Linked DNA regions of Callithrix jacchus. The protein of the gene in region 6 interacts with the protein of the main gene of each other region in a pairwise test. Links are inferred from orthologs where the notes say so. Each region holds a gene or a part of one and is shown on either strand. Other genes may lie near its edges. The genes, in order: AQP1, APOL6, SMARCC1, SHFL, MAPKBP1, ADAMTSL4 and AMMECR1.

The links.
Region 1: the proteins of ADAMTSL4 (region 6) and AQP1 interact in a two-hybrid assay, tested with the Homo sapiens proteins (2 studies listed by BioGRID and IntAct). The link is inferred for Callithrix jacchus from reciprocal best matches to the Homo sapiens genes ADAMTSL4 and AQP1.
Region 2: the proteins of ADAMTSL4 (region 6) and APOL6 interact in binary tests that used the Homo sapiens proteins (3 or more experiments, as listed by UniProt). The two-hybrid records come from large-scale screens. The link is inferred for Callithrix jacchus from reciprocal best matches to the Homo sapiens genes ADAMTSL4 and APOL6.
Region 3: the proteins of ADAMTSL4 (region 6) and SMARCC1 interact in binary tests that used the Homo sapiens proteins (3 or more experiments, as listed by UniProt). The two-hybrid records come from large-scale screens. The link is inferred for Callithrix jacchus from reciprocal best matches to the Homo sapiens genes ADAMTSL4 and SMARCC1.
Region 4: the proteins of ADAMTSL4 (region 6) and SHFL interact in binary tests that used the Homo sapiens proteins (3 or more experiments, as listed by UniProt). The two-hybrid records come from large-scale screens. The link is inferred for Callithrix jacchus from reciprocal best matches to the Homo sapiens genes ADAMTSL4 and SHFL.
Region 5: the proteins of ADAMTSL4 (region 6) and MAPKBP1 interact in binary tests that used the Homo sapiens proteins (3 or more experiments, as listed by UniProt). The two-hybrid records come from large-scale screens. The link is inferred for Callithrix jacchus from reciprocal best matches to the Homo sapiens genes ADAMTSL4 and MAPKBP1.
Region 7: the proteins of ADAMTSL4 (region 6) and AMMECR1 interact in binary tests that used the Homo sapiens proteins (3 or more experiments, as listed by UniProt). The two-hybrid records come from large-scale screens. The link is inferred for Callithrix jacchus from reciprocal best matches to the Homo sapiens genes ADAMTSL4 and AMMECR1.

Annotation. Positions count from the first base shown.
Region 1 is NC_133512.1:27,327,327-27,331,848, forward strand, and holds the start of AQP1 (aquaporin-1), read right to left. Parts: upstream 3,013-4,522; 5' UTR 2,955-3,012; coding exon 2,571-2,954; intron 1-2,570. UniProt on the Homo sapiens protein: Forms a water channel that facilitates the transport of water across cell membranes, playing a crucial role in water homeostasis in various tissues.
Region 2 is NC_133502.1:206,571,830-206,574,501, reverse strand, and holds the end of APOL6 (apolipoprotein L6), read right to left. Parts: intron 1,964-2,672; coding exon 988-1,963; 3' UTR 684-987; downstream 1-683. UniProt on the Homo sapiens protein: May affect the movement of lipids in the cytoplasm or allow the binding of lipids to organelles.
Region 3 is NC_133516.1:30,460,763-30,465,202, forward strand, and holds the start of SMARCC1 (SWI/SNF complex subunit SMARCC1), read right to left. Parts: upstream 2,831-4,440; 5' UTR 2,730-2,830; coding exon 2,532-2,729; intron 2,382-2,531; exon of another isoform or gene 2,188-2,381; intron 1-2,187. UniProt on the Homo sapiens protein: Involved in transcriptional activation and repression of select genes by chromatin remodeling (alteration of DNA-nucleosome topology).
Region 4 is NC_133523.1:9,278,865-9,283,118, reverse strand, and holds the start of SHFL (shiftless antiviral inhibitor of ribosomal frameshifting protein), read right to left. Parts: upstream 3,008-4,254; 5' UTR 2,897-3,007; coding exon 2,876-2,896; intron 2,404-2,875; coding exon 2,280-2,403; intron 2,084-2,279; coding exon 2,034-2,083; intron 315-2,033; coding exon 276-314; intron 1-275.
Region 5 is NC_133509.1:44,826,210-44,830,788, forward strand, and holds the start of MAPKBP1 (mitogen-activated protein kinase-binding protein 1), read right to left. Parts: upstream 2,890-4,579; 5' UTR 2,763-2,889; exon of another isoform or gene 2,215-2,762; 5' UTR 2,106-2,214; coding exon of another isoform or gene 1,992-2,105; exon of another isoform or gene 1,923-1,991; intron 1-1,922. UniProt on the Homo sapiens protein: Negative regulator of NOD2 function. It down-regulates NOD2-induced processes such as activation of NF-kappa-B signaling, IL8 secretion and antibacterial response. Involved in JNK signaling pathway.
Region 6 is NC_133519.1:10,468,438-10,472,224, forward strand, and holds the end of ADAMTSL4 (ADAMTS-like protein 4), read left to right. Parts: coding exon 1-89; intron 90-388; coding exon 389-593; intron 594-914; coding exon 915-1,091; intron 1,092-1,344; coding exon 1,345-1,548; intron 1,549-1,667; coding exon 1,668-1,847; intron 1,848-2,132; coding exon 2,133-2,277; intron 2,278-2,427; coding exon 2,428-2,564; 3' UTR 2,565-3,279; downstream 3,280-3,787. UniProt on the Homo sapiens protein: Positive regulation of apoptosis. May facilitate FBN1 microfibril biogenesis.
Region 7 is NC_133524.1:106,622,335-106,626,117, reverse strand, and holds part of AMMECR1 (nuclear protein AMMECR1), read left to right. Parts: intron 1-2,042; coding exon 2,043-2,157; intron 2,158-3,783.

The DNA.
Region 1 (4,522 bases), on a different chromosome or scaffold from region 6:
TCAGCAGAAAGTTGTCCCCAACATGTCTCAAAGGGACACCCCCTGACTCATCCCAACCACTTCCTGCCACCTCTTTCTCTGTTTTCCTTGGAAATCTCCATGCCAACAACTTGTCCCACCCAGGTTTTGGCTGGGGTAGGGCTCAGGGTCAGAGAGGCTGCGGGAGTCTCCCCTGGATCATGAAGGAGTGTGTCACCTGCTGCTCAGACCATCCCCTGTCCCTTTTAAGGCATCCGGGCCACCCCTGAGCCCCCTCCAGTTCCAGGGCCAGTGTCTGATGGGAGCCCTCGGGGGGCACATTTCTGTTTCTAGGCCCAGAGTTGAGCTGCAGAACCCCATCCTTCCTGTCGGGACAGGGCAGCGCCTGAGCCCCCACTGCAATTCGTAGTGCCCTGAGGTTCAGCACTGGCCCTGCTTGGCTGCTCTTACCCAGCTTCCCTGGGATGGGTGATAAGTGCAAAGCAATGAAGTGAGCTGGCTGTATGGGTGTGGCTGTGAGATGTCACAAGACCTAGGTCCCCTCTCCAGGTTCAGGGTCCGCAGCTCCAAGGAAGCTCAACAGGTTAGCTACAGACACGTCTTGAATCCAGGTGTGTGCCTCCCAGCCCAAGGCTGGCCCCCACACTAGGCTGCTCCTCTTTTTCTCCCATTTGCAACATGCCCAGCCCAAGTATTGGGGTTACTATAAAAAACGGAGGCCAGGGAGGACATGGGGCACGGGAGTTGGGTGTGGCCCCTGATCCAGATGGCACAGATGGGGCCCACCCTCCTGCCTCTGCCTCAGATGCCCATACTGGAGCGTGGAGCTTTTGCCAGCAGGTGCAGAGGTACTGCCCTGTGAGATGGGAGGGAAGAGATGGGGCCAGAAAGCCTGGGAATTGCAACCCCTCCCCCATGGGGACCCTTCCCCAGCCCATGATGCCCAGCCAAGCCTCAGTGTGAGCTTGACCCTACCCATTGGAACTCCCTGAGGCCACAAGCTCTGCCTCCACTGGAAACTGAGGCCTGGGGGGCAGAACTTGACGTGGCCTGCCTGAGCTCTGTCCCTTACATCCCCTGTAGCCATGTCTAAACTGGCAAAAGTCTAAACTCCAGCCCAGGGAGCTAATCTTCAATCTTGGGCTGAGCAGAGATTGGCTGCAGAGGAAGCTGGGCAAGCTGTCACCATGACACAAAAGTGCTAAGCCCCCCGTGGCCGGGCTGAGCCAGCTGCCCTCTGCACCAGACCTTTACCTAGCCTCCTGCTGGCTGCCAGCCCCAGAATCTGAACTTTGGCTAGGAAGAGAGAGGACAGCTGCTATAATCACTCCTGCCATCTCTGTGGCACCCTCAGAGATGGCTCACACCATCCCCACACCTGCCTGCCCTGCCCACAGCCCCGCCAGCCTCCTCTCTCTAGATGAGTCCTCCTCTCTACTTCTTAGCCTCCCTCCCTCCCCATGAGGGCACCCCCAAGCCTGCTCACCTACCCCTTGGGCTCTCAGAGACATCCTCCAAGCCTTCCTCAGTCTCCAGGCCAAATCACCCCTGCTATGGCCCAAGCCCGGCCTGAGTTTGCACTTGTCTGAGGAGCTGGAAAAACTCAGGTCTGAGATAGCAGGCAGCTGCCACCAGTGGCCTATTAGCCGTGCTAAGCAGCTCAGGAGACATTCTCTTCCACAGCTGCCACCCAGTCACCAGCATCTGCTTGTCATTAGTGACCCCAGTCCAGACCCCATTCAGGCCAGGAGCCATGGGCACGTGTGGTTACAAACACCCCCACACACCCTTACACGGGTGCACAAACATGCGCACAGTTTACACAAGCTCAGAGACCCATGCTGGCAAACACATGCACACATGCACACCCACACAAACACAGACACACACAAACACAAACACAGACACACACACACGCCACACCTGTCAGTGCCTGGAGCCCAGCACTTGCCCCCCAGCCCACACTGTAATCCAGGAAAACCACTTCCAAACAGCCCCAGAAAGTGTTTTCACTCCCTTATCTTTGTCTAATTCCCTGGAGCAGAGGAGTGGAAGAGAGCTCTTCTCTTAATTCCTAGAGGTGGTGTGTTTGGAAACCTGTGTGAATATGGGGGGCTCCCCAGAGGCCTGGGGGCTCCCTGAGGGAGTCCTGCTCATACACTTGCAGAACCAGCTGCAGACAGGCTGGGCATCAGGTTCAGGGTGGCTAGGGATGGTGGGCAAAGCTTCCCCAGGGTGCAGGGCTGCAGGAGGAGGGAGCTGGCGGCACAGGCAGGACTGAGAAGGGCCAAAAAGCTACAGCCAAGGGGCGAGGAACGGCTGGCCAAGCTTATTCCCCATAATAAATGCCCTGCAGGGGACATTGGCAAGACCATTATTCCCTGGCTCTCAGCTTCCCACAGTGCCTGGCGGAAAACAGGCTCTGGGAGGCATGCATAGCTGAGTTCTAGCCCCAGCTCTCTTCGTGACCTCCAGCCACCTCTTGTTCTCTCCATTCCTCAGTGTCCCCATCTGCACAATGGGCCAAGGATGGAACCAGTGCCTTTCAGCATCATGCTAGAACACCCCGAGCCCGGGGACACCCCACTCACGTCATTGCGGCCAAGCGAGTTCCCAGGCAAGGAGGAGGTGATGCCGGAGAGGATGGCGGTGGCGACGATGGCCCCCACGCACTGGGCAATGATGTACATGAGGGCACGGAGAATGCTGATCTGGCAGCTGAGCAGCAGCCCCAGCGTGACGGCTGGGTTGAGGTGGGCACCGCTGATGTGGCCCACGCTCTGCGCCAACGTGGCGATGCTCAGTCCGAAGGCCAGCGACACCTTCACATTGTCCTGGACTGCCGTCTGGTTGTTCCCCACTGGGTATTTGAAGCCCAGGGCAGAACCGATGCTGATGAAGATAAAGAGGGTCATGGCCAGGAACTCAGCCACTACTGCCCTCCAGAAGAGCTTCTTCTTGAACTCGCTGGCCATGCTGGCAGGGGGCTTTGGCCTGAGACCGCTGCTGGGTGCTCAACTCCCTCTGAGAGCTGAGCCACAGCCTGGGCTGGGCCTATTTATAGGGGCGGGGGGGCGGGGGGAGCACAAAGGGAGGAAGGCCTCTCTTCACTCCTGGCCCGCCCCACACCGCACGGGCCTCCTCTGGATGGATGCAGACTCGGCTCTGCTGTCGGCCTGCCAACTTTTTCCTTCCTCCTCTCCCCCCCCCTCTCCCTCCGCCCTCAGCCCTGCCCAGCCCAAGGAGGCAGGCAGGAGGCGGCCGTTGCTCTAACAGGCTTTGGGAAATTCCTCCAAACTGGCCTCACTCAGGGGACCAGAGAAATCCAGGTGTCTCCACCCTGTGTGCAAAGCTCAGGGGGTTCCTGAGGGTAGAGCCAGGAACTCGAGTGGGTGGAGTGGGTAGGCTGGACTCGGTGGGTGGACGCTGCCCTCCCTGGAGGCAGGCACCATGATCCTGCTGGCCTGACATCCCCATCCCAACCCAGAGAGAGACTGGCCTGGAGTTTCTGAGCCCAGGGCTCCAGAGGCACAGTCAGGGCCTCCTGCACGACCACTGCATGCCATGTTAGGGATGTCCCAAAGCCCCCAGTCCCACCAGCCAAGCCTCAGTGGAAGCAGGCACGGAGGCATCAGTAGGTGCAGAGAGGTTGTCTATGGCTGCTCTCTGTGCTGTGAGTATGGCAGGGCTGTTAGAAAGCGCCCACCCTCGGAGCTCCCGAACTTCTCAGGAGCTGTTTGAACCAACGATTTGAGGGCAGGTTGGTGACGATGGAGACAGTTTCGGACTTTCCTCTCAAGGCAGTCACACTGGCAGGTCACTGGGAAGGTGGAAGGAACGGCAGCCTGACCTGGTATTGGAAGGTGCTGGAGAGGAGGGAGTGAGTGAGCAGGAGAGAAAGGGAGAGACAGGGAGATGCAGGCTGAGGGGAAGAGAACAGAGAGACACGGAGAGAAGGAAGGCGGTAGCAGGGAAATAGAGCAAAAGTGGAAGTGAGAGAAAGATCCCCAGCCAGAGACAGTGAGACAAGCAGAGACACAGAGAGCACGCAGAGGGTTAAGAAAAGACGAACTGAAGCAGGGGAGATAGGACTGGACCCCAGAGCCAAGAAGCAGAGAGGGAGAGATAAATGAGGAGAGGCAGAGAGCAGGAGGGGCCTGATGAGCCCCCCACAGCAGGAGGGACCAAAGCCCTCAGGCAGACCCCTGTGGACCCCCTATGCCCTGGGCATCTCCGATCCAGAGGTCTAGCGCCAGCTGACAAACAACAAGAATCTGGACTCAGGGGCCAGCAAGCCGTCAGGAACCCCGGGGCCCAGCCCTCTTGCCTGCTACATGGAACATGCTGGACAAGCCAGGCCCAGGAGGGAGGGTCCCCCTGTGGCCCCTAGGAAGGGCCTGGGATGATCTGGGCTCTCCTCCCATCTCCTGCCTGTCCCACCACAATCTCATTCAGCAGTGTTGGCATCTTCCCATTTATAGGTGGGAAACTGAGGCCCAATGAGAGGACTCCTCTGCGTTCAAAATGTGCTTAGGGCAAGGCA
Region 2 (2,672 bases), on a different chromosome or scaffold from region 6:
GTAAATTACCTGGTCTAAGGTATTTTGTTATAGCAGCACAAACAGACTAAGACACTTGGCAAGTGACATAACCTCCCTGGCTTAGTCATCTTTGGTGGCTATCACAAAATAGTAACAAACTACTATTGGGTTGCTTACACCACGAAATGTATTGTTTCACAGTTCTAGAGGCTGGAAGCCCCAGATTGCACTGCTGACTCATTTACTTCCTGGTGAGGGCTCTCTTCTTCTGCCCTGCAGACGGCCACCTTCTTGCTGTGTCCTCAGATAACCTTTCTTCAGTGCAGCTGCGCAGCAGGGGTGGGGAGGCCCTCTTGTGTTTCTGCTCCTCTTATAAGGAGGTCAATTCCATCATGTTAGGCCCTCACCCTGATGGCCTCATTCAAGCCTAATTACCTCCCAAAGGCTCCATCTCTAAATACAGCCACATTTTGGTTTAGAACTTCAACATATGAATTAGAAGGAGAAGGCAATTTAGTTCCTAACTCCCCCTGTGGTTCAGTGTCCTTTTTTTAAAACTGGGAAGACTCAGCTGGGCACAGTGGCTCACTCCTGTAATCGCAGCACTTTGGGAGGCCAAGGTCAATAGATCAGTTAAGGTCAGGAATTTAAGACCAACCGGGCCAAACTGGTCAAACCCTGTCTCTACTAAAAATGAAAAAAAAAAAAAAAAAAAAAAAAGCAGAGCTTGGTGGTGTGTGCCTGTAATCCCTGCTACTTGGGAGGCGAAGGCAGGAGAACTGCTTGCTTTCAGGAGGCAGAGATTACGCCACTGCACTCCAGCCTGGGTGACACAGACCCCGTCTCAAAGCAAAGAAACAAACAAACTGGGAAGACCCTTTTCCCAGCACATGGGCCTTAAGAAGTGTTGAGGGAGAAACAGAAGGCACGCCCACGTGTGTCCAGGACAGGCACCCTCATCTCCAAGATGTACTTGATACCGTTTGGGCCTCCAAGGCCATTGTATACCCGTGTCCTGAGGTGCATTCATGTAAACATGACATACACACAGACACACACACACAGACACACAAATATCCACACATGCTCCCTTAACCCCTTCCAGTAAGCCTTGGTTTCACAGGTCCCCGTTAGAACCTTCGCCACCACTCTGGCCCTTGACCTCACTTTCTGCTGCAAGCTCTGGTACAGCTGGGTTAGTTCTGTGAGGTTCATCTCCAGCTCCGAGGCCTTGGCTCTCAACTCTTCCGCGAACTTTGTCCTCGCTCCTTCCTTCAGGTGCTTCCATTCTCTTGAGAGAGCGGCCAAGTCAAGGCCAAGGGATAAGGTGGTCATCGTGCCTCCCAGCATGCGAGCATTTTTGGTCATTGCCAGTGTTGTCCCTGCAAAGGCCCTTTGCACCTGTGCGGTGCTCCGGGAGGAGACTTTGCCAGTGGTCAGAAGACGCTTGGCGGCATTGGCCAAGCGTGGGTTGGCTCTGATTTTCTGAAATGCACGGACGTTGTGTTTGGCGTTCTTCATGGTGTTGTTAACGTGACAGATAATGTCTATAGCGACTCCGACATAGTCTGCCTTCTCTTCCGCAGCTTCCTTGTCCTCCTGGTCATGGGTGGGCAGTATGTCTTCAGCCTGAGCTTGGGCTTTCTTATTTTGGGAGCGCTCCAGCAAACCGCTCACAATGCTGGTGACCGTAGCTGCTGTTGCCAAACCTTGACCAGTGGCGGAGAGTAGCAGGCTTCCTCCTCCTGTTGCTGGGGCAAGGGCTAAACCCAGGAGGCTCACCACCCCAGAGACGACAGCAGTGGAGTTGGCCACCAACTTAGTCTTGGTGAATTTCTTGTGGGTTTTGTCAATATCCTCTGCGAGGGCACGCAGCTTGTCGATGTTACCTTTTAGATCTTCTCTCATTCTGGGAAATTGTCTTAAAAATATTTTTTCTTTGGGGGACAGATCTCCATCTTGTAGCTCCACATCTTCACACAGAAAAGCATCATCCTCGTCCCTGAGGAAAAGTGAAATAAAGATTTTGCTTCAGCTTCCCAGCTGGGAAAATCCATGTGGCTCTTGGATATTCTCGCCACTCTCAACTTTGAGTCCTCCCTGTACCTCCCTTCAAAATCCCCTGAAAATTCTTGGAGTGTCATAGAGGAGTTCAACCTTCACTGAAAGCTACTGGTTCCATGGAGAAAAGAAACACATAAAAGGGGCATGTGGAGGGACAAATGTGAGTCACCCCAGCCTTGGCCAAGGAATGGGGAAGGCAGATTAGTCCTGAGGCATGTTTTCAGCCTTGTTCACAGAAAGCACGGCACTGCCACAGAGGAGGGGCAGTAAGGAAATGTTAAAACCCTATTCAAGATAAGAAACTTGGGAACTCCGGTGCGGTGGCTCACGCCTGTAATCCCAGCACTTTGGGAGGCAGAGGCAGGCGGATCACGAGGTCAAGAGATCGAGACCATCCTGGTCAACATGGTGAAACCCCGTCTCTACTAATAATACAAAAATTAGCTGGGCGTGGTGGCGTGCGCCTGTAGTCCCAGCTACTTGGGAGGCTGAGGCAAGAGAATTGCTTGAACTCAGGAGGCGGAGGTTGCAGTGAGCCAAGATCACCACTGCACTCCAGCCTGGTGCTTGGCGACAGAGCAAGACTCTGTCTCAAAAAAAAAAAAAAAAAAGAAAGAAAGAAAGAAAAAGAAACTTGGGAACAATGG
Region 3 (4,440 bases), on a different chromosome or scaffold from region 6:
AAGAGTTTGAGGTTGCAGTGAGCTATGATCACACCACTGTACTTCAGCCTGGGCAAGAGAAAGACCTTGTCTCAAAAAAAATAAAGTAAATTAAAAATGAATCAAAAAATGACACTACCAAAGTCATGTTTACTGAGACTGAAACTGTAACTGCTCTGAAAATGCAGCAGTATTAAATCCAATAGAACCAATCTTTTGGTTTTTAACCAAATAGAAATGCATTGTGTAGAAAAGAATCAAAGAACCTTCTGATGGTATTTTCACCACTTTAACAGTAACACCCAGAGACTGAAAAGATTCTGGCTGTCAAGCCTAAGGTATACATGATTCTGAATCTGAGTAGACCCTAAAAATACTCTCTGGCTTTACAAGTTCAGAGAGGTCAAAGGTAACTTTGTCTATAAAGTCTCAGGTACAGTGAGTCAACATTACCCAGGTGGTCTCAATACTGCCAAGCAATTCCTCAAACTGCTTTGTAGCCACTTCCCTACCCGCCCAAACAAATGCCTGAAGGATTATCCATGGCTAAAGCTTCTTGTAGTTGGTCCCAAACTGATGCACACTGAAGAGTCTGGAGAGGTAGAAATTACTGAAATTTGCCTTTTTCTACTCTGTTCCTTGATATTCAAAGGAATATGCCTCTAGATTACTTTTCTTTGTTAAATCTCCACTGAATTTAAGACCCAAGCACATTCACCTGTGTGCTTCAATTAAAAAAAATAAAAGACCCAAAGCTTAGATGAGAAAAAAAAAAAAAAAGACCCAAAGCATTGGCTAAAAGGAAAACATATTCAATTCCATTAGCCACTTCTAGAAGCTCTATTACCCACATTTAAAAAGTGACCAATTTATCACTGTTTAAGAAAGGGCAATATTCTTAAAAATGTACAGTCTAAATATAACTTCAGAGGGAGGGGAAATCTAAGCACCTAAAAATACAATTATTGTCTCTCACTTCCTCAAACTTCAGATAAGAAATGTAATTTTTCTAGCTAACCTTCAAGAAAGAAAAGAGAAAGAGAAAGGAGCGTGGGAGGAGAGAGAAAGGAGGGAGGGAGGGAGGGTCGGTCATTCCTTTTTTTTTTTTTTTTTTTTTGTTCTTGTTTTTGAGGGGGACAGAGTCTCACTGTATTACCCAGGCTGGAGTGCAATGGCGCCATCTCGGCTCACTGCAGCCTCTGCCTTCTGTCTTCAAGAGATTCTCCTTCCTCAGCTTCCCAAATCGCTGGGACTACAGGCATGTGCCGCCACACCCAGCTAATTTAGCATTTTTTCTGGAAAGACGGGGCTTCACCTTGTTGGCCAGGCTGGTCTCGAACTCCCGACCTCAAAATCCGCCCACCTCGGCCTCCCAAACCGTGCCTGGCCAGAAATGGTCACTTCTGAATAAACCACGTGTAATGCCAAAGGAACCCAAGATCCCTGCCCATGCCTAATAACTGCCCAACACCGACAGGCTTCACTGAGCTCTAGAGGCCAAATAAATAGGTTCCTAAACCAGTTTATCTTTTCATTCATTCAACAAATATTTACTAAGCAGCTATTCAGGGTAAGGCAGTAAGTATCAGCGACGTTCCCAGATACACTGCAGTGAACAAAGCCTTTGCTTTAGTGCTATGATCCTCAATGGGGAAAAGTACAGAACTGAAGAGGGTGCTGGGAAAATTTCAGAGGCTGGAGGAGGCTTTTTGGCTACCTGCTTCATTACACCCTTTAAGGGACTCTTCCTGAATATTTACACAAAGGGGAAATTTTTAAAAAAGCATTTCTTATAAACAAGGGATTAAGTCAAAACTTTGAAAACTACTGACTCGGCGGAACTTCCATTCTAAAGGTAGGAGAAATAAGTAAATGAATAATTGATTTCAAAATCTGGTAAACATTACAAAGAAAAAAAGGTAACATAAGGAAAGTGCTCTAATAAAAACTGGGTTCTCGGGAAAGGCCTCCCTGAAGAACCCCTTAAGTACAATGAACATTAACTCTCACACCACACCGAACCAGAAGTATAATCAGGTAAAAACCGTTGTTTAATAGAAGTTCACATCCATCCTATATAATTCATATTAACCTGTTAGTAATTAACGAATATAGTCATCCCAGTTTAGTTGTTTAGGAAATCAACAACAGGTAGCAAACCCCCTCGAGGCTTTGAATACTCTCTATAACAAAACTTAAAGCTTTTACCACGCTTGCTCAGTCTTTAGGGATCATTGTTCAGACACCTAAGGCAGCTGACGAAAGAAAGTCACACTCTCCCAGTGGCTAAGCTCGACCTGCTCTGGCACACGAGAATGAGCAAGGGCTTTCTCCAGGAATGCGTGGGTTCAGAGGAGCGAGCCACGAACCCGTCAAGCCCCGGGCGCTCGGGCGCCGAAAGCGGACGGCGGGGGCGTGGCGGGCCCAGCGCCTGCCTTTGTTGTCCCTCGTGGCGCGCGGAGGGGGAGGGGCGGCCCGGGGCCCGCGAGGCCAGCTGCCGCCTCCCGCCCCAGTCGCGTGGTCTGTCGGCCCCCGCGAGCGCGCGAACCCACCTTCTTGTAGTGCTTGCCCAGCCATACCCGCACTGAATCCAGCTGAGACACCGTCTCCGGGCTCTCCCAAAACTTGGTGGCCGGGCCCCCGTCCTTCCGCCGATAAACGGCCAGGCCTGCTGCTACCGCAGCAGCACCCGAGCCCGTGGAGCCTACTGCTGCCCCTGGGCCGCCACCGCCGCCCGCTACTGCAGCCATCGTCGCCGCCTGTCGCCCTCACCGCCTGGCCCACCCCGACCCTTGCGGTGCTTCCCGTTCGCTCCCGCGCGCCCTTGCGCGCGTAGCCGCCACCGCCGCCTGCCGGCCCCGCCCAGCCAACCCCCTTCCGGCGCGGACGCCCGGCCCCGCCCCATCTCCGGACTGGCGCCGTATCCGTCGCGAGCCCGCCCACACGCATGCGCAGCTATTCTGCGGCCCTGCAACGATTTCCAGTCGCCTCTTCCGCCAGCCTCCGTAGGCTGTGGACGTTCTCGCTTACTGAGCGCGGGTCTTTGAGCTCCTTGCTCTTCTCTCGCTACAGACGTCCAATCATGATGCGGTCAGCAACCGCAGGTGGGTTCTGTGTCATCGCCTGCTCTGCTGGACAGAAAAGGCCTGGTACGAGAAGTGCCGAGAGGAAAGCCTGTCTAGGGTATCCAGTGCTGGCCGAGGACCCTGCGCGCGGACTGGGACTGCGCTGGGCTCAGCTTTCCGGCAGACCCTCCACCCGGAGCGGTCCCGCGGCATTTTGCACAGCCATCTGGGATGCCCATGCCTGAACTTAATGGCTTCACAGACCTTCCCCTCCCTCATGGCTCCAGCCACAGCGGCTCATTCCTGCCCCAGGGGCCCTGGCACCGGCTGTTTCCGAGACTTCCAACAGGTCTTCCCTTCTGATTTTCACTTAAGAGACGCATTCAAATTCACTGCTTCAAAGCACTTCAGAAAGTCGTCAGATCTTAAAATCTTGAATAACTATTCTCAACCACACATTTTCTCGTAGCGCTCACCACGATCCGGTGTTTCTAGTTTCTCACCTTCCACATAAATTACATGAGAACCTAATCTTGACTTGTTCACAGGTGTAACCTGAACACCTGGGACAAGGAATAAGATGTACAGTAAATACTTGATGAATTAATGAATGGCCCACATAGAAGCAGAATGATTATTAATTATTAACAAGGTATGAGGCTGGGCACGCTGGCTCAAGCCTGTACTCCCAGCACTTTGGGAGGCCGAGGCCGGCGGATCAGCTGAGGTCAGTAGTTCGAGAGCAACCTAACCAACATGGAGGAAACCCCGTCTCTACTAAAAATACAAAATTAGCCGGGCATCGTTGTGGGCTCCTGTAATCCCAGCTACTAGGGAGGCCGAGGCAGGAGAATCGTTTGAATCCGGGAGGCAGAGATTATGATGAGCCGAGATCGCGCCATTGCACTCCAGCCTGGGCAAAGCGAAACTCCGTCTCAAATAATTAATAAATAAATAAATAAATAAATAAAACAAGATATGATTGGCCAGGCACGGAGCATTTTGGGAGGCTGAGACGGGAGGATTGCTTGAGCCCAAAAGCTCTAGACCACCACCCCCTCCTGCCTCTACAAAAAATAAAAATATCAGCTGGGCGTGGTGGTGCAAGCCTGTGGTCCTAGCCTCTTGGAAGTCTGAGTAGGGAAAATCACTTGAACTGGGGAGATCAAGACTGCAGTGACCTATAATCAAGCCGCTCCACTGCAGCCTGGGCAACAGAGCGAGACCCTGTTTCAGAGAAATAAAAAGTATAATTGGCCATAATGGAGTTGTGAACATAATGCTATATGATCTCAGAGAAGTAGTAACTAATTGCTTGTAAGAAAGTGAGTAACTGCTGTTAGTTTTTGAGACCCTTGAAAATGAGGGCATGTACATATTATCAGGATCTCCTAAG
Region 4 (4,254 bases), on a different chromosome or scaffold from region 6:
GGATGAGGCGGGGGTGGGGTCACCCTTTTTCTTCTTCTTTTAATTTTTTTTTGAGATGGAGTTTTGCTCTTTTGCCAGGCTGGAGTGCAGTGGCGCGACCTCCCCCTGGGGTCACCCCTTCTGTACCAACATAAACATCAGCCCTTCTCTCCCTACAGAGGGGTCTTCCTCCTGCCCCAGTGAATATCTCCCCTCCTTTCCTAATGGACATGCTTCTGTGCCTGCAGATGTCCTCCTCCCCACTTCCCCATCCCTAGCCACAGCCACCAACTCACCTCAATGTCCCGGTCCTGTTTCATATCTTCTGGTGGGTCCTGGGTGGAGATAGCAGGGGCAGAAATGGGGGATGGGGCTCAGGCCTCTTTCCATCTGTTTGCTGGGGTAGAGGCCTGGCTACAAGGAAAATGGGGTGCCCCTAACTCGCCAGGAACTCACAGAGCACTGCCCACTTACTGAGAGCCAGGTGTGTGGTCTCAGTTGTCCTCATAACAGCCCTGAGAAGTGGGCACACCTGTGACATTATTGCTGCACTGGAGAAACTGAGGCTTAGTGGAGGACTTGCCTGAGTGAAGCCAGCCTGACTCCCATACTCACTTCCTGCCTGCAAATGCTACATGCTTGTTGGTGTTGTGATGCATCACCCCTTTGACGCCACACTGTGCCAGAGATAAGTGGTGGGAATCTGGGTTGAGATTCAGGTTTGAATCCTAACTCTATCACTTCCAGTTGTGGGGACTTGGGCAAGCCACTCCCTGCCCCCTGGGTTCCCACTGACTGACAGGCATGTCAGAGCTCAGGCTCTGACTCCAGGTGGCCAGGGTTCAAATCTCAGCTGCCACCTGCTTGCCTCGAGAACCTGGCAAGTGACTTAAGCCTCAGTTTCTTTGTCTATGAAATGGGGATGATAAATAATAGGACCTGTCTCCTGGGTCACTGTGGTGATGAAATAAATCAATTCCTGGAGTCTCGCCATGTGGGAAGTACTCAATCAATGCTACCCTCTGTTATTGTTATTATTATTTTATTTTTGAGATGGAGTTTTTTGCTCTTGTCGCCCAGGCTGGAGAGCAATGGCACGATCTCGGCTCACTGCAACCTCCGCCTCTCGGATTCAAGTGATTCTCCTGCCTCAGCCTCCCAAGTAGCTGTGATTGCAGGCATGCACCACCACACCCAGCTAATTTTTTGTGTTTTTAGCAGATACGGGGTTTCACCATGTTAGCCAGGCTAATCTCGAACTCCTGACGTCAAGTGATCTGCCTGCCTCTACCTCCCAAAGTGCTGGGATTACAGGCATGAGCCACTGCACCCGGCCCCTCTGCTATATTTTTATCATACTTTTACATGTGTAAATGTGGACTATGATGCATATTTTATTATACTCTTTTACAGCCCTACACTGAGCCTTTCAGGCAGATGAAATCCACAGCGTTCCCATCACCAAAGCTCTCCAAGAAGCAAAGTAGCCGCGTTGAACCTGTGCTTCAAAACCATTCATTCATTCATTCATTCACTCACTCACTCACTCACTCAACACAAGGGTTCCATTTCCCCACCTCTCTCTCCTCCCCAATCCCCTGCTCATCGCAGCCTTTTTAGGGACTGCCACTAACAACCCTTCCCCACTTCCAGTCTTTGCTCATACCATTCCCTCCCCCACCCCAAGACCCCTGGCTTCCCCTCCTAGGGCTCACTACACCCCATCCTTTAAGACGTGGTACCTCCTCCTCCAGGAAGCCTTCTCTGACCTCTGGGGCTCCCCTACCATGGCAATAATCCTGGCTCCTTTCATTGCCTAGTTTCATGGCTCTCTCTCTCCCATTGAATACAATCAGCACATAATGAGCGCCTACTGTTTGCAGGCTCCCTGGTCTCGCAAACGATGGAGAGGTGAAAAAGTGAGTAAGATTGGGCATGAGTTGCAGACGACAATGCCTGGTCCCTGCTGTTTCAGAGGAGGGTCCCCATGAACGGGTCGGGCCCCCTCTTGCTCTCCCTCCCGTGACCCAGTCCTTTGAGAGGGGAAGGGTTACCTGGGCATCCAGGCCGTTACTCAGTTCTTGGCCATCTTTTTGCTTTACCCCTGCGGGGAGAGTGCGCATAAGGGAAGGGCCTTTGAAGGGTCTGTGGGAGTTCCAGGCCACCCAGAACCGCGACGCAGAGCCTCCCCCAAGCTGGGATCTCCAGGGGAGGTGATCTCAACGCCTCTCCCTACACCACGCCCCCTCGGCGATCCCACGCGCGGTCCCCGCACCAGGCCCGGGCCCCCTCAGCCTCACCGTACACGATGGAGCGCCCCACTCCCGTGTGGTCGCTGCCGAATTTCCTCATCAGAGCCCCCGCCTTCTTGGAGGATACCTTCCCATGAAACTTCTCCCGGAGGCGCCGGACGCTCTTCTCCAGCTGGGATGGGGACACGGGGGCTCCGCTGGGGGAAGGGGACGCGCGATCTTCCCTCCCCCATTACTAGGCACCGTTCTCCCGGCCTGAACTTGACCCTTGGTTTTGGCCTCCGCCGCCCCCCCCCCATCCCTCTACGGCATTTCCTGGAAAAAGCCAAAGTCCCCACAGGGCGTTGGGGGAGGGCGCGGGCCGGGGCGAGCGTCCCAGCCTAAGGTGGGGGGTCGGCCAGGTTATCTCTGGCCTCTGACCTTTGACCCTGCAGCCCCCGCTTTTCCTCAGGGAGGCCTCATTTTGCTCTGGGGAAACGTGGGAGTCACTTTCCTTTTCAAGGGGGGCGAGCGCAAGGCAGGGGTAAGGATCTGGGGTTCTAGGATGGGGGTCCCCAGGAACTGCGAAGCCCCTTCCGCGCCTCCTGGCCGCTCCTCGGGCTCTGTCGCGGCTCCCCCCCGGACCAGCCGTAGCCATCTCCTACCTCCACACCTTCCTGAGACATGGTGGCGGCGGCGCAGGTCCCCGCGAGGGTCCGCACTGCGCGGCTCAGCCGCCCCCCTACCTGGGCGCGCCCGTCGGTCCAGCAGCCGCGCAGGGCAGGGGGCGGTGCCTCGGGGCCGGCTCCGCCCTTCCTCCCCGGCCCCTGTTTCGCTTTCGGTTCGGGGGGGACCGGGCGCGCTGGCTCCGCCCTGGCTCCGCCTTTGCTCTTGCGCCCCAAACCCAGGCGGGAGCCCCGGGTCTGCACCCTGCGGCGGAGCGCGCAGACCTCGGGCGGGGGAGGCGGCGCGGCCTCTGCAGTCGGTCACATGTCCCCACGCTGCGCGGGGTCCGCGTCTTCACGTCCCTCGTGGGGGCGGGGCTGCATCGGAAGGCCGCGGCGAAGCCCCGCGCCCCCCCACCCAGCGCGCGCTCCCCCAGTCCATCACCCTCCTCTGTCCTCCCTCCTCCCCCGGGAATCTGGAGCTTCTGAGGACCTGGGCCCTTTTCCTGCCCTGAGTCTCTGTCCCGCTACGGTCACTTCTTTGAGCCTCAGTTTACTGCTCTGTGAAATGGGGAAGATCCTGGTTTCTACACCATGGAGTGGAGCCTGTGCCAAGATTCCCGAGTGGATCGCGTAATAGCGCCTGGCTTGCAGTAGGCGCTCCACTAGCACTGGGCCACCTGCTGTGTGCCCTTGATGGGGCAGGCAGTGTGTGTGTGTGTGGTGCGGGGAGCGGTGCTTGAGAAAAATACAGATTCTTGGTCTCTAGTAACCCGGTAGAATCCGGCTGTCTCAGGGATCCAGGGAATCTGCCATGGTTGAGAACGCGGTGGGCCGGGACAATTCGAACCTTGTACAGGATGCATCTGGTAGCCCTAGAGTGGTGGGGCTCTGGCCCAGCCTGGGGACATCAGAGATGGCTGCCTCGTTGGAGGAGGGGATGCTTTGTACAGCGTCACTGGAATTGGAGGTCTGGGGGAGGAATAGAGTGGGGAGATGAAGCAGCCTGCGGAGCCCCCAAAGCAAGACTAAGTCTGGGGCGCTCGGGCAAGGGTTTCTTAAGCCCAGCACGCTTGACATTTTGGGCTGCCTAGTTCTTTGTGTGGGGGACTGTCCTGTTATGGGGAACATTTAACAGCATCCCTGGGCTCCACCCACTAGATGCCAATGGCTCCCCACTCTCCCCATGGTGACTACCAAATATGTCTCCAGAGACTGCCAGATGCTCTCTGAGTGGCAAAATAGCATTGTGTTCAACGACTCCAGTTTTTTTTCTCCATTGGACACCCCTATAGGTAAAACTGTTAAAGCTCCACCCGCAGATGGATGTTTGTTTGTTTGTTTATTTATTATCTTTTGAGACAAGGTCTTGCTCTGTT
Region 5 (4,579 bases), on a different chromosome or scaffold from region 6:
TTAGGTAGAGATCTTTTACTGAAGAGTGTGGGGAGTCCAGCATCGCTAGGGTCCTGGGCACACAAAGACAGCTATTTCTCTTGGGTGCTAAAGATATGCACCAGTCATTTTGCTGCCAGACCATTCAACGGTCATTCAACTTCAGCTAAGTATTTCTTTCATACACAGCTTTAGGAGAGACAAAGCCATTTAAAGCAGTCTGAAGCACTGAATTCCTGTTTTAAACAGGGAATGGTAAATGGTCTTCCCAGGGATGCCCCTTTTCTGTTTTCCTGGAGAACTTTTCTCCACCTGCCTCAGGACTCATGTTTCAAGCATCCCTTCCTCAGTGAAGCCTTTCCTAATTCCCCTGTACTGACTTAGGTCACCTCCCCTGTGCTTCCATTAACAACTTACGCATACTTCTAGAGCAGTACTTATCACACTATGTTTTAATTATTTGTTTACATGTCTGACTAGCCATAAGCTTTGGTGGCAAGGGTAATGTTTTACCTATCATTGATTGCACACCTAATAGGCACTCAATAAACACTTGTTAAATGCATTAGTAATGAATAATATTGGAAGTCTTAAAGAATGGCAACCATACTGTAAGAATTAATAATGAAGGCTAAACCCTCATTACATGTTTCTACTACTTATACCATTCCTGGCCAGAAAAAGAGGCCAAAGATTTGAGAAGATTGCTCTAACAGTGCTGGTCACTGCCAAGTTACCGGCCACGAATAAGAGCACTTGCAGCAGTAAGAATGAACAGAGTCATATCTAAGACAATTTCTATGTTTCAGGCTTACTCGCCTGCCTCAGGAGAATAGGAACAAGGATTAATAAGAGACCTTGGAAGGGTCACAATGTCCACCATCACAGAACCTTCTAGCAAACTGTGATTCAGTATAATTTCTGCTGAAATATACAGGAAAGCTGTTCACCTTCTTACCAAATCCAGTCAAGGTTCTGCTAAGGAATACAGAGCTGAGCTCAGCCGTCCCAGAATCCTGCCGTTTGTACAGTGGCATTCCAAATCATTCCTCATGGGATTTACTCATCATTGAAGAGTTACAGACAAAGCAATAACATGCTGTGGTCTCAAATGCCTCTCCCTGTAACAATCTTGTACCACACAAGCCTATCGTGTTTACAGGCTACTAATAAGACACAAAATCTGATCTGATCCTATGGGAATAAAGCCCTGGATTTCCTCAAGGGTTTAAATAAATGTAGTCTACTTCAGGATTCCCAAAGTTCTGGGGTTCGTTTAGTTGAAAAAAGCATAAGGAACAAAACCCAGATAAGTGAAGGGATGGAAAGGAACTTTGTTTGTGAGTATCATCTGCAGTGGAGTGGGATGTGGTTCATATAGTGAATGAGATAAGCAATGCTCAAGGACCATCCTGAACTGTTTTGCTGAGAGATATCTGGCTTCTTGAGTGCAATCATTTCTAGGAAGCCAAGATGCCACTTGAAGAGACAAAAAAATTCTGACCCTGGGCAAGAGCAATTACCAAGCCAATTCCTCCGACTAGGTGTTTTGGCATATTTCTTTCTGCCACTACAGTCTTACATAACCCCAGCTGTTACATTAACACCTGCAGCTACATTAGTCACAGCTTAGCCCTTCACAAGGTATGTGTTCCTACTGTCCTCTCCCAAGAAGGGAAACTGAGTCATAGCATATCAACTGGCTTCCCAAGCACATGTTTAGTGTATAGTTTGACCACAATTGAACCCAGGGGGTAATACCACAACTGAACCCAGGAAGGACAGGTGGCCTTCCTCCTATTTACCTCTTCTCAGGATGACTCTCAGCATGGCCACCCCTGCTGCTTTTTCCTTCAACCTAAAACCAAATCATTGACTGCAGAGATCACAAGTGATCCTTTAGCGTCAACAAGAGCTTCTCGTTATCTTTTCCCAATAAACAGGAAAGTTGAAGAGGAACATGGAGCAGGAGAGGGTCGGTTTGGAAAGAGGTGGCTCCCACCAGGACTCACCTTGGAGCTGAGGTCCTCTCGTCGGTTTCCTGGCTTACTCCTGCGTAGTTTGATGGAAGGAGATCTCAGCAGATTCTTGATTCGGCTGGTAATGGTTGACCCTTCCATAGCCATTACGACGAGAAACCCCTTGGGACAGTCCCTGGCCCAGTCCTGAGTCTTGTCTCAACAGCGGCACTGTCTTCCCACTCCACAGGGCTTCCGAATATGCCCTCTCACTGACCTGAGATGGCAGAAGCCACCTTACTATCAGAGTCTTATCTTCTACCTAGTGAAGTCTGCACCTTTTCCCTCATTACCACCTTCGACCCCTGCACAGTTTCTTACAACGTTGGAAGGAAAAGCTCACAAAAAAGGGGGACAAAATCCTAAGCCACGAAGAAATGCCAGGCCCACGACCGCCAGAGGCATTTAACTGGCGAAATGGATGGGATGGGCCCTAGTTAGTCTCGTGGACTATCTGGTTCCCGTTAATGCCCAACTGTGGACTATCTGGTTCCCATTAATGCCCAACTGTTCCCATGGCAACTGTACTGTCCAAGGGAGGAGACTGCCGAGACCACCAGGGATTTCAACAGGAGGCCAGGGCACCTGCGCTAGCGGCAGCGGGGACGTAAACCAGCAACTCGTTCTGCCACGGGAGCCTCCCTCCCCACCCCCTATCCTCCAAAGCTCGGTCTCTGCTCTCCACAGCGGCTCTGAACCTTTATCTTTCACCCGCCTCTGAAGCCCCTGCTACTCGTCAGCGCCCCCGTTCGGGCCCGGCCTCACCAGCCCCGGCGAGCGAGGGCCACCACGCTCACAGCGCCCTCGGGCATCGCGCTCGACAATTTCAGCCCCGCCGCGGTAGCTGCAGCGGTAGAGGCAGCAGCAGGAGCTATGGTGGCACGAGCGGCTCAAAACGCGAACTACCGCTTGGACCAAGATACGCGCCAGATGGGCGGAGCCAACGCGAGGGGCGCGGCCTGTAGCCAGGAGGGCGTTTCCAGAGTAGACGAGCAAGGTTTACGGGGCGGAGCCAATGAAAGGACCCAGGAAGCAGACGACTTGGGACTAGAGAACCACGGAATCCGCACAATTGTGGGTACGCTTTTAAAGGAAGGTCAACAGAACATTGCTTCAGAATTGAGAGAACCAAGCCTTTTATGGTATTATCAGGCCTTGTCCCCCAGAGAACTGCACTTCCCAGAGCCCCCAGACGATAACCACGCCTCCATGGTGTTAAGGTTGGCATTTGATAGGCCCGAGGGCCCGTAGCAGAAACTCCTAGCTCACAATAAGACTGAACTACAGCCTAAAAGCTGTGCTCCTAGCGACCCTAAGTGTCGAGATTTAAAGCGGTTGGAATATTTTCTGCTCGTAGCCCGTGCGGCACGTTGACTCAACGTGGAAAGGATTCTTCTGAGTAACGCAATTCAATTGCTAAGAACAATGTTTTGCACTACGCAACCTGATTGGCCATAATGAAAGGGGAAAGGGTGCCTTTGAACAGAGCTTTGGGCGTGCGGGGTAAGAGAGAAGACAAGTGTATGTGCTATGGGACATACTGTAAGTTTCATGGTTTTTTTAGCCTCCGAAATCCCATTGTGCTCCCTCAACTAAAGCTGACCAGGACTTTGTTGCTCCAGATCTTTTTCCTTATTCCTGTCAAAATTTAGTTGTGAATCCTTTTCCCCAAGGCTGTTTCCTTGATGAGGTCACTGTCAAGCTTGCTGATACTATAACGAGGGGTAGTTTTTCTAATTCATGGCGGGGGAGACGGAATACACGGAAATGCTACATACAATATATATTTCCTGAGTATTCTCCACTTTACTACTATAACAAATTACCTCAAGCCAGAGACTTGGACCCCAAGGGAATAAATAGTACACTGGTGTATCCGTCTCAGTCCACCCAGATCTTTCGAAACCCTGTGGAGATAACACGTGTCAACAAGTGAGGAACCTCTAAGGAATTATTAGACCTCATGAAAAAGCCTAAATAAAAGACAAGGGACCCAAGGGAAATAGTACACTGGTGTATCTGTCTCACCCTATCCAGATCTTTTGAAGCCCTGAGATGACGCGTGTTAGCAAGAGGGAAGAACCCCTAAATTCACTGCTTGTGTACAATGGTGAGTCTTGCACAGCCAAGTGGCAAAGCAAGTATGTGCTTGTGTATACTGTAACCACATACTAAAAATGAGATTTGTAAAGCTCACAAGTTGACATGGAGATGATGGATGTCAGCTTCTGGAAGACCAACAATAGCATGTGGCCTTCTTCCCTTCAACCATGCACTGCAAATATTATGAAACATGAAATGTGATTTTCAAATGTATTTCCCAAATCTGGAGGAAAAAGGCCAGAACCATTAGCTACAATATGCAACAGATCGTTGGTTCCCTCAACCCATTGCTAGTACATGATTTGACCTCTCCATGGGAGTAAAAGCTAATAAATGGTGCCACCTGGTGTCTTTACTTGTATGCTGCAGACCATGGCAACTGCCATCTCCATCCATGAAACTAGAGTAAAAATGTGCCCACAAGAGCTGTCCACTAACGGTTTTCTCAATCACTCATGGCCAGGTAAATGGCTTACCAA
Region 6 (3,787 bases):
GGAGAGGAACTGGATGAACGCAGCTGCACTGCGAGTGCCAGGCCCCCAGCCTCCCCTGAACCTTGCCACGCCCCCCTGTGCCCCTCATAGTGAGTATGGCCCACAGGGAGGGTTAGGGTACTGGAAACACAGCGGTTGCCCCCACAATCTTACCTGAACTCTGCACTCAATGTGACATCTCCTGGCTGCAGAGAGACAACATGAGATTAGAAAGGCGGACGTTCCATAGGCAGCAAAAAAGCCACAGCAGCCTGAGCCCCCACAGGAACCCAGACTCCAAATGCCAAATGTGCCCACTCTCCTCTGAGGCCCCATGCGACCCCCTGCCGGGGCAGCCCCACACATCTCATCTGTCTCCTCCTCTTCCCTGCCCTGCTGGTGCCTGCAGCTGGGAGGCTGGCGAGTGGACATCCTGCAGCCGCTCCTGTGGCCCTGGCACCCAGCACCGCCAGCTACAGTGCCGGCAGGAGTTTGGGGGAGGTGGCTCATCGGTGCCCCCAGAGCGCTGTGGACATCTCCCCCGGCCCAACATCACCCAGTCTTGCCAGCTGCGCCTCTGTGGCCATTGGGAAGTTGGCTCTCCCTGGAGCCAGGTCAGTGCGCCGGGCAGGAAGGGGCTGGGGAGGGGAATGGGCACGGGGAGCAAGAGCAGAGGCTTTCCAACTACTTTTTCATCAGCAGAAACTATTTACAAACAGGGTTTCCTGTGGAACCCTGATATAGGAGTCAGATAAGGGACTGAACTAGGGATAGGGGGCCCAGGGCCCAGGGGCTCAGCCTCCTCCTCAGCCCACGAAGCCATGTGACTGCTGGGCTGAGGATGGAAGGCAGAGCCCAGTTCTGAAGCCCTAGAGCTGGAGGCTGGATGAGAAGCCCTGGGAAGCCCAGCTCCCTGATTCCCCTTGCCCGCTCAGTGCTCCGTGCGCTGCGGCCGGGGCCATAGAAGCCGTCAGGTTCGCTGTGTGGGGAACACCGGTGATGAAGTGAGCAAGCAGGAGTGTGCGTCAGGCCCCCCGCAGCCCCCCAGCAGAGAGGCCTGTGACATGGGGCCCTGTACCACGGCCTGGTTCCACAGCGACTGGAGCTCCAAGGTGAGCCCCTAACCCCCTAGCCAAGTCTTGCGTCCTGGGTGACCACGCCCAGGACACCCTCCTCAGCCTTTCCAGCACAGCTCCAACTTACGCGAGGGGCCCGGCTAGGACTCCCCGGCAGGCCTGGTACCCGGGGACGTTCCCTACCACCCAGATTCAGACCCAGGATGTGTCCCTCCCGCCCCCCCCGCCCCGTCCTGTCCTCTGTGCCTGTCACAGCAGGACCCTCACACAGACCTCTCCTCCTCCGCAGTGCTCAGCCGAGTGTGGGACGGGAATCCAGAGGCGCTCTGTGGTCTGCCTCGGGAGCGGGGCAGCCCACGGGGTGGGCCAGGGTGAAGCAGGAGCAGGAACTGAGCAGAGCTGTCCACCAGGAAGCCGCCCCCCTGACATGCGCGCCTGCAGCCTGGGGCCCTGTGAGAGGACGTGGCGCTGGTACACAGGGCCCTGGGGTGAGGTGAGCTGAGCGTCTGCTGAGGGCAGGAAGGGGGTGCCAGTCCTGAGGGGATTCCCTGTGGGCACTTGGGGCGCCCTCTGTCCTCCCCTCCCCTTCTTACCCTGTCCTCCCCGACCCAGTGCTCCTCCGAATGCGGCTCCGGCACGCAGCGGAGAGACATCATCTGTGTGTCCAAACTGGGGACGGAGTTCAACGTGACTTCTCTGAGCAACTGTTCCCACCTGCCCAGGCCCCCTTCCCTGCAGCCCTGTCAAGGGCAGGCCTGCCAGGACCGATGGTTTTCCACACCCTGGAGCCCGGTGAGTGCCTGGCTGCCCTGCCCTGTTCAGCCTGGGCCCCCAAGGGAGGGGTGCTCCTTTCACTGTACCCCTCCAGGTCTCTCTGTGCCCCACGATAAGAGCCAAGCTTTACCATTGTCCCATTTCTTGTCGACTTGGAGGACAGATGGGTCCTCTCCATCTGTGATTTCACAATGTCCTAGAAGGGTCCCCACCACCAGCTTTTGGGGAGGGAGGTGCCAGCTGGGGGTTAAGGAGCATCCCGGGCCTGGCAAAGGTCTGATAGGACAGCCGGGGTCGCCCCAGTGTTCTCGCTCCTGCCAGGGCGGACTGCAGACGCGGGAGGTCCAGTGCCTGAGCGCCAACCAGACCCTCAGCACCCGATGCCCTCCTCACCAGAGGCCCTCCAGGAAGCGCTCCTGTAACAGCCAACCCTGCAGCCAGCGCCCTGGTAAAGAGACCCCTCTCCCCAACCCCCAATAGAGTGGACTAGCTGAAGTATGGGAGGAGATGAGAAAGGACCAGTGGGAATGGGCAGCACAACTTCAGACAGGTGGGTCCTGGTGACAGTCTTGTTCCCACTGGCCTCCTCTGTCCCCAGATGATCAATGCAAGGACAGCTCTCCACATTGCCCCCTGGTGGTACAGGCCCGGCTCTGCGTCTACCCCTACTACACAGCCACCTGTTGCCGCTCTTGCGCACATGTCCAGGAGAGGTCTCCCCAGGAGCCCTCCTGAAAGGGGTCCGGGGCACCCCCATGGTTTTCTATGCCACCATCGGTCACCCAGTGATCAGCCCACTCTGAACCCCCTGGCTCTCCAGCCTGTCCCAGTCTCAGCAAGAATGTCCTCCAGGTGATGGGGGGTGGCAAGGTGACAGTGGCTTTCAGGGCTGTGGTGGGGCCTGTGTGGTGGTGTGCACAAACGCCCCCCAGGTGTGCATCGGGGACTGCGTGGATATGTGTGTGCTCAAACGTGTATCACTTTTCAAAAAGAAGTTCCACAGACTGAGGAGGACAAGACCTGTTTCCCTGAGACTCCTAGGCAGCGAGGAAAGCAAGTTTGCAGTTCCTTGCTAATGCGGGCTGCTTAGAGGGTGGTCTCCCACCAACTCCAGTTTTGTGCTCTGAGCTTCATTGCTCACGTTCAGGCCTCACATCTAAACCGCCCTGAGTCTCTGACCCCTCCCTTCTCGTTTGCCCAGTATCCCTGCCCCTGCCTCCCTGCTTAGCTAGGGCTGGGGTCAGCCACTGCCAATCCTGCCTTACCGGGGAAGGCAGGAGGACAGAGACTGCCTCTCCAGAGCAAAGCCCGGCCGGGCAGAGGGTGGAAAAGAGAAATGTGAGCATGAGAAATGTGACCGCAGCCCCAAGCCCCACGCCCTGCCTCCTGAAATGGTTTCCACCCAGAACTAATTTATTTTTTATTAAAGATGGTTATGACAAATGAGAAACGGGCTCTTCCTTGTCGGGCTGCGGGCCCCTCAGCAGTGTGAAGGCAGAAGGTGGGGGGGGGGCAGGGGAACAGCATCAGCCCAGGAGGAGAGTTTGGGCCAGAGGAACCCCGCCAGCCCCAGGCCCTGCAGGCTGGTCATGGGCCACTAGAGGTCACCAGTGCTCCCAGCCGAGGTGTGTGGGGCGCTGGGCCTCCGGGCAGCGCGGCAGCCGTGCGCTCTTTGGTGGGCCGAACCTCGCCGGGAAGTCTCTCCTTTCCACCAGGGCCTGAGCGAAGGACAGCTGGCTTGCCGAAGCTCCTTTTTCCCCTTCCTCTGTCCCCCTTTCTGCCGTCCGCATTGCCCTACGCTCCGGGGCTTCCTTCTCCTTCCTGCCCCGAACCCTTCCCTGGAGGAGCCCGGCCGGGGCGGGGGAGGAGCGGGCAGCACGGGTTGTCCTGCCAAAGCCACATTCCTCAGAGATGGCTCAGCCTGGCCTCCTCCCTCCCCCTCGCTTCTCACAAGGTAG
Region 7 (3,783 bases), on a different chromosome or scaffold from region 6:
CTATATACTTACCAAATGATTAAAATACCAATTTTATGTATATTTTACCATAATAAAAATCTATAACTCCCTAAAATTACATTTTATATTATTCTAATGAATGACATGTCTTCTCCTCTCTTTCTCTTAACAGTAAAACTGAAAATGTGATTGATCTTTTATTTTTTATGCATACAATTCTTCTGGTCTGTGTTTTAGAACTTCTTTCCTGTATGTGGAGGGGGTGGTGGGATACATACACACATGTCTTTATCTTGGATTTGAATGAGAACTTGGAAGTATTTTTTAAAATTTTTATTTGTCAGTAGAAAAATAAAAGAAGCCAAACCATAGGGAATTTACATCATTAAATTATAAAATAGTGAAATGCTGTTTTCAGAGTATGAATTATCACAGATTTCCTGATTTTCTTGGTTAATATTGGCTTCTTGAATGGGAAAAACATTTATACTTTTATACATATATAACATTTCTATATCGTCCTATAAGCATTTTCCTTTGTATAGCAGGATAAAATGAGCACCCAAGTGTATTGCAAATATACAAATGCAGTGAGTGAGCTTCAAAATGCAAACAAAGAGATGGGAAAATGAAAAAAGAAAATTCAGCAATGAGAAAATCACTGGAAAATGATTTAAATTATTTTCAAGGCTATGGAACTATGTTATGACCCAAGCAGTTTGTAGAGTCTGAGTTTGTAACCTCTGAGGATTAATCTGTGAAAGTATTTCTAAGCCTGGCTACTATCTAGGACATTTGAAGATGGATATCATGAATGCCAGTATTGCCATTAATATATTAGGCAATCAGAGGTATGTTTGTTTTTCTTGATGAGGAAGTGATTTCTTTTAAAAAATTCAGCAATGAGAAAATCACTGGAAAATGATTTATTTTCAAGGCCATGGAACTATGTTATGACCCAAGCAGTTTGTAGAGTCTGAGTTTGTAACCTCTGAGGATTAATCTGTGAAAGTATTTCTAAGCCTGGCTACTATCTAGGACATTTGAAGATGGATATCATGAATGCCAGTATTGCCATTAATATAGTAGGCAATCAGAGGTATGTTTGTTTTTCTTGATGAGGAAGTGATTTCTTTTAAAAGTACAAGGAACCGTGTGTGTGTGTGTGTGTGTGTGTGTGTGTCTGTGTGTAGTTTCTGTTCCACTGCAGGAAGAATTATGGTTTTTCCACATTTTACAGTGGAGATTTTCTAGAGTTTGGCACTATGATATACTATACTTGATTATAGGATCCAATCAGAGTTGATGTACTCAGAGGTTCATTGACGTGATTAATGGTCTCCTATTCATACTTTTATTTCCTAGATTTGCCCTATTTCCTGTAGTTCCACAATTTTTGAGTCATATGTTAAATTATCCTTTATAGGGAGCCTGAAATTCTTATTTTTAGTCTATAATTTGCATGATTATTTCCATTTTCTTTGTTTTTTTTCTTGAAGAAAATGAAATTTTCATCTTCCTTTGAATCCTTTGAGTGCTATTCTATGGTGACTGGCTTACCTAGTATAATCTTTTTAAAAATAATATTTTGTGTGTGTGTGTTCATGTGTGTGTGTGTGCACTTATAGGTATATGTACACACACACACATACACGTGCGCGCACACACACACACACACATAAAATTTATTTTTACTGCCACCAGCACTGGATCCTGAAATCTTCCTACAAATTTCTACTAGTCTAGTTTTTATTCTTCTCAAAAGCAAAATAAAACATTCTTAGATTCTGCAAGTAGCAGGGCAAGACACCAGGAAATGGCTATACAGGAAATGTAATTGATCATTCACTCTTTACAATTGAAGCAGTCACAAGATTGGCTAGCAAACACAATCTGTTTAATGAAAAACCAAAGGTGACTTCTAAAATCTTTGGGGACTTTGAATACATTTGAAGCTTATTGATACCTTTGACATCTTACTGATTCTTTTTGAAACTCTTACCTTTTTCAAATAATTGTTTGCATTTGAAATTTGGAACTATGTCCAGTGATTGCTTTAATATTTGCTTTGTTTTTGACAGTGCCCTTAAAGATAGCCGTTTTCCCCCAATGACAAGGGATGAGCTGCCACGGCTTTTCTGCTCAGTGTCTCTGCTCACTAACTTTGAAGATGTCTGTGATTATTTGGACTGGGAGGTAAGATTATAGAAAAATTTTTAAAGAAAAATGAAGGTAACTCTTGAGTAGATGTTAAAAACTAGGCCCAGAAAATAACTCTTTCAGCCCATTCTCTGTTGTAATGGAAGTCGAGAGTAATATGGATAAATAAACCTCACAATTGAAATATGAGATATAAGTAAATTAGTTTTTAAAGGGCAAAGTATCATGTATTGTTATAATCCCCAGACTGAATTTGGTTTTCATTTTTATCCTACTACCTCAGCAAAGCACCTCATAAAAGCTGTTAATATGTAATAAGAAGGACTGATTGGAATTTATTTCTCCTCTTATTTTCATCTTGATGTACTCTGGTATAACCGCCACCAACTATGTAACTAGTTGGTCAGAGGATACATCTCAGAAACAAGAAGAAATAGTTAGGATAATATACCATTTGGCAGAATCAGCTTGCGATAATAACAAGGTATTGATTAACTAGAGTTAAATAATGTGAATTCCTTCTTGGCTACCTTAATTTATACATTTAAACACCCTAATAAATAATATTAAGGTTATATCTAGGGTATCTCTGTGTATTGCTATTATTAGAGTAGCTTATAATGATCCTATTTGTATTCTTCGTTACCATGTGGGGTTGGCTAACATGATTTGCTTTGGTGGCTGGGAGATGTTGAGTGTAGGTCTATGGGTCTATGAAATTTTAACACAACCACGCCCATATTACTGAATACCTGTTGTATTCCAGCAATGTGCTACATATACAAAAGTGGTAAGATTCAGTTCCCACCATGAAGCATCTCATAATTCAGTAGCAGAGTAAATGTGTATAGAACGTATGAAGAAATAAGTGCTATGAGAATGAAACAATAGGAACTCAGTGATAAATACAGCATTCTGTCTCACACATACACTTATAAATGGCATTATTGTATCCTTACGACAGATTTTAATTCTACTGCTGTTTTAGATGACCATCCCCCATAGTAACGTAACTGTTCTGCCTTGGACATAGATCACTCTCTTCACAGTTTATTAGACTTGAATTTAATTTTGGATTTGCCCTGATTCCTTGTGAGACTTTGAACAATTTACTTACTCCACTTGCAATTCAGTTTTCTAATATACAGAATAAGACATTAATTTTCTTCATTTGAAAAAAAATCTCTATGATATAAATTATTGTTCTTATACCAGAGCTATTTAAAAAATTTTGGGGAGTGTCATAAAAAAAATCTTTTCTACAGATAGTACAATGCAAGAGTCCCCTCTGGGTTTTCTGATAAGATTTTCTGGAGTATTATCAGAATATGAACACACCTTACGATTTTTGCAAAAGAAGAAATAAAATAAATTTATACTGTTGTCCCCAGCAAAGTTGGAATGTGGAAAACCTTTAGTAAACTTGAAATTTCTAAGTTACTATTTCTATAAGTTTGTTCTTCTTATTTGATTTTTTTAAAAGAGAAGTCTACAAATATTATAGAAATATTCCCTAGTACTTTATTTTTAAGTGGTCCCAAATCATGTTCCTTACTTATTAACATATTTTATAATTTGGATGGTTCTTTTACTGCTTTAAAGCTGCTGTTTCTTCTTCCGCAGCCAGATTTACTTTTGCTTTCTGGATTGCAGAGTGTTGTG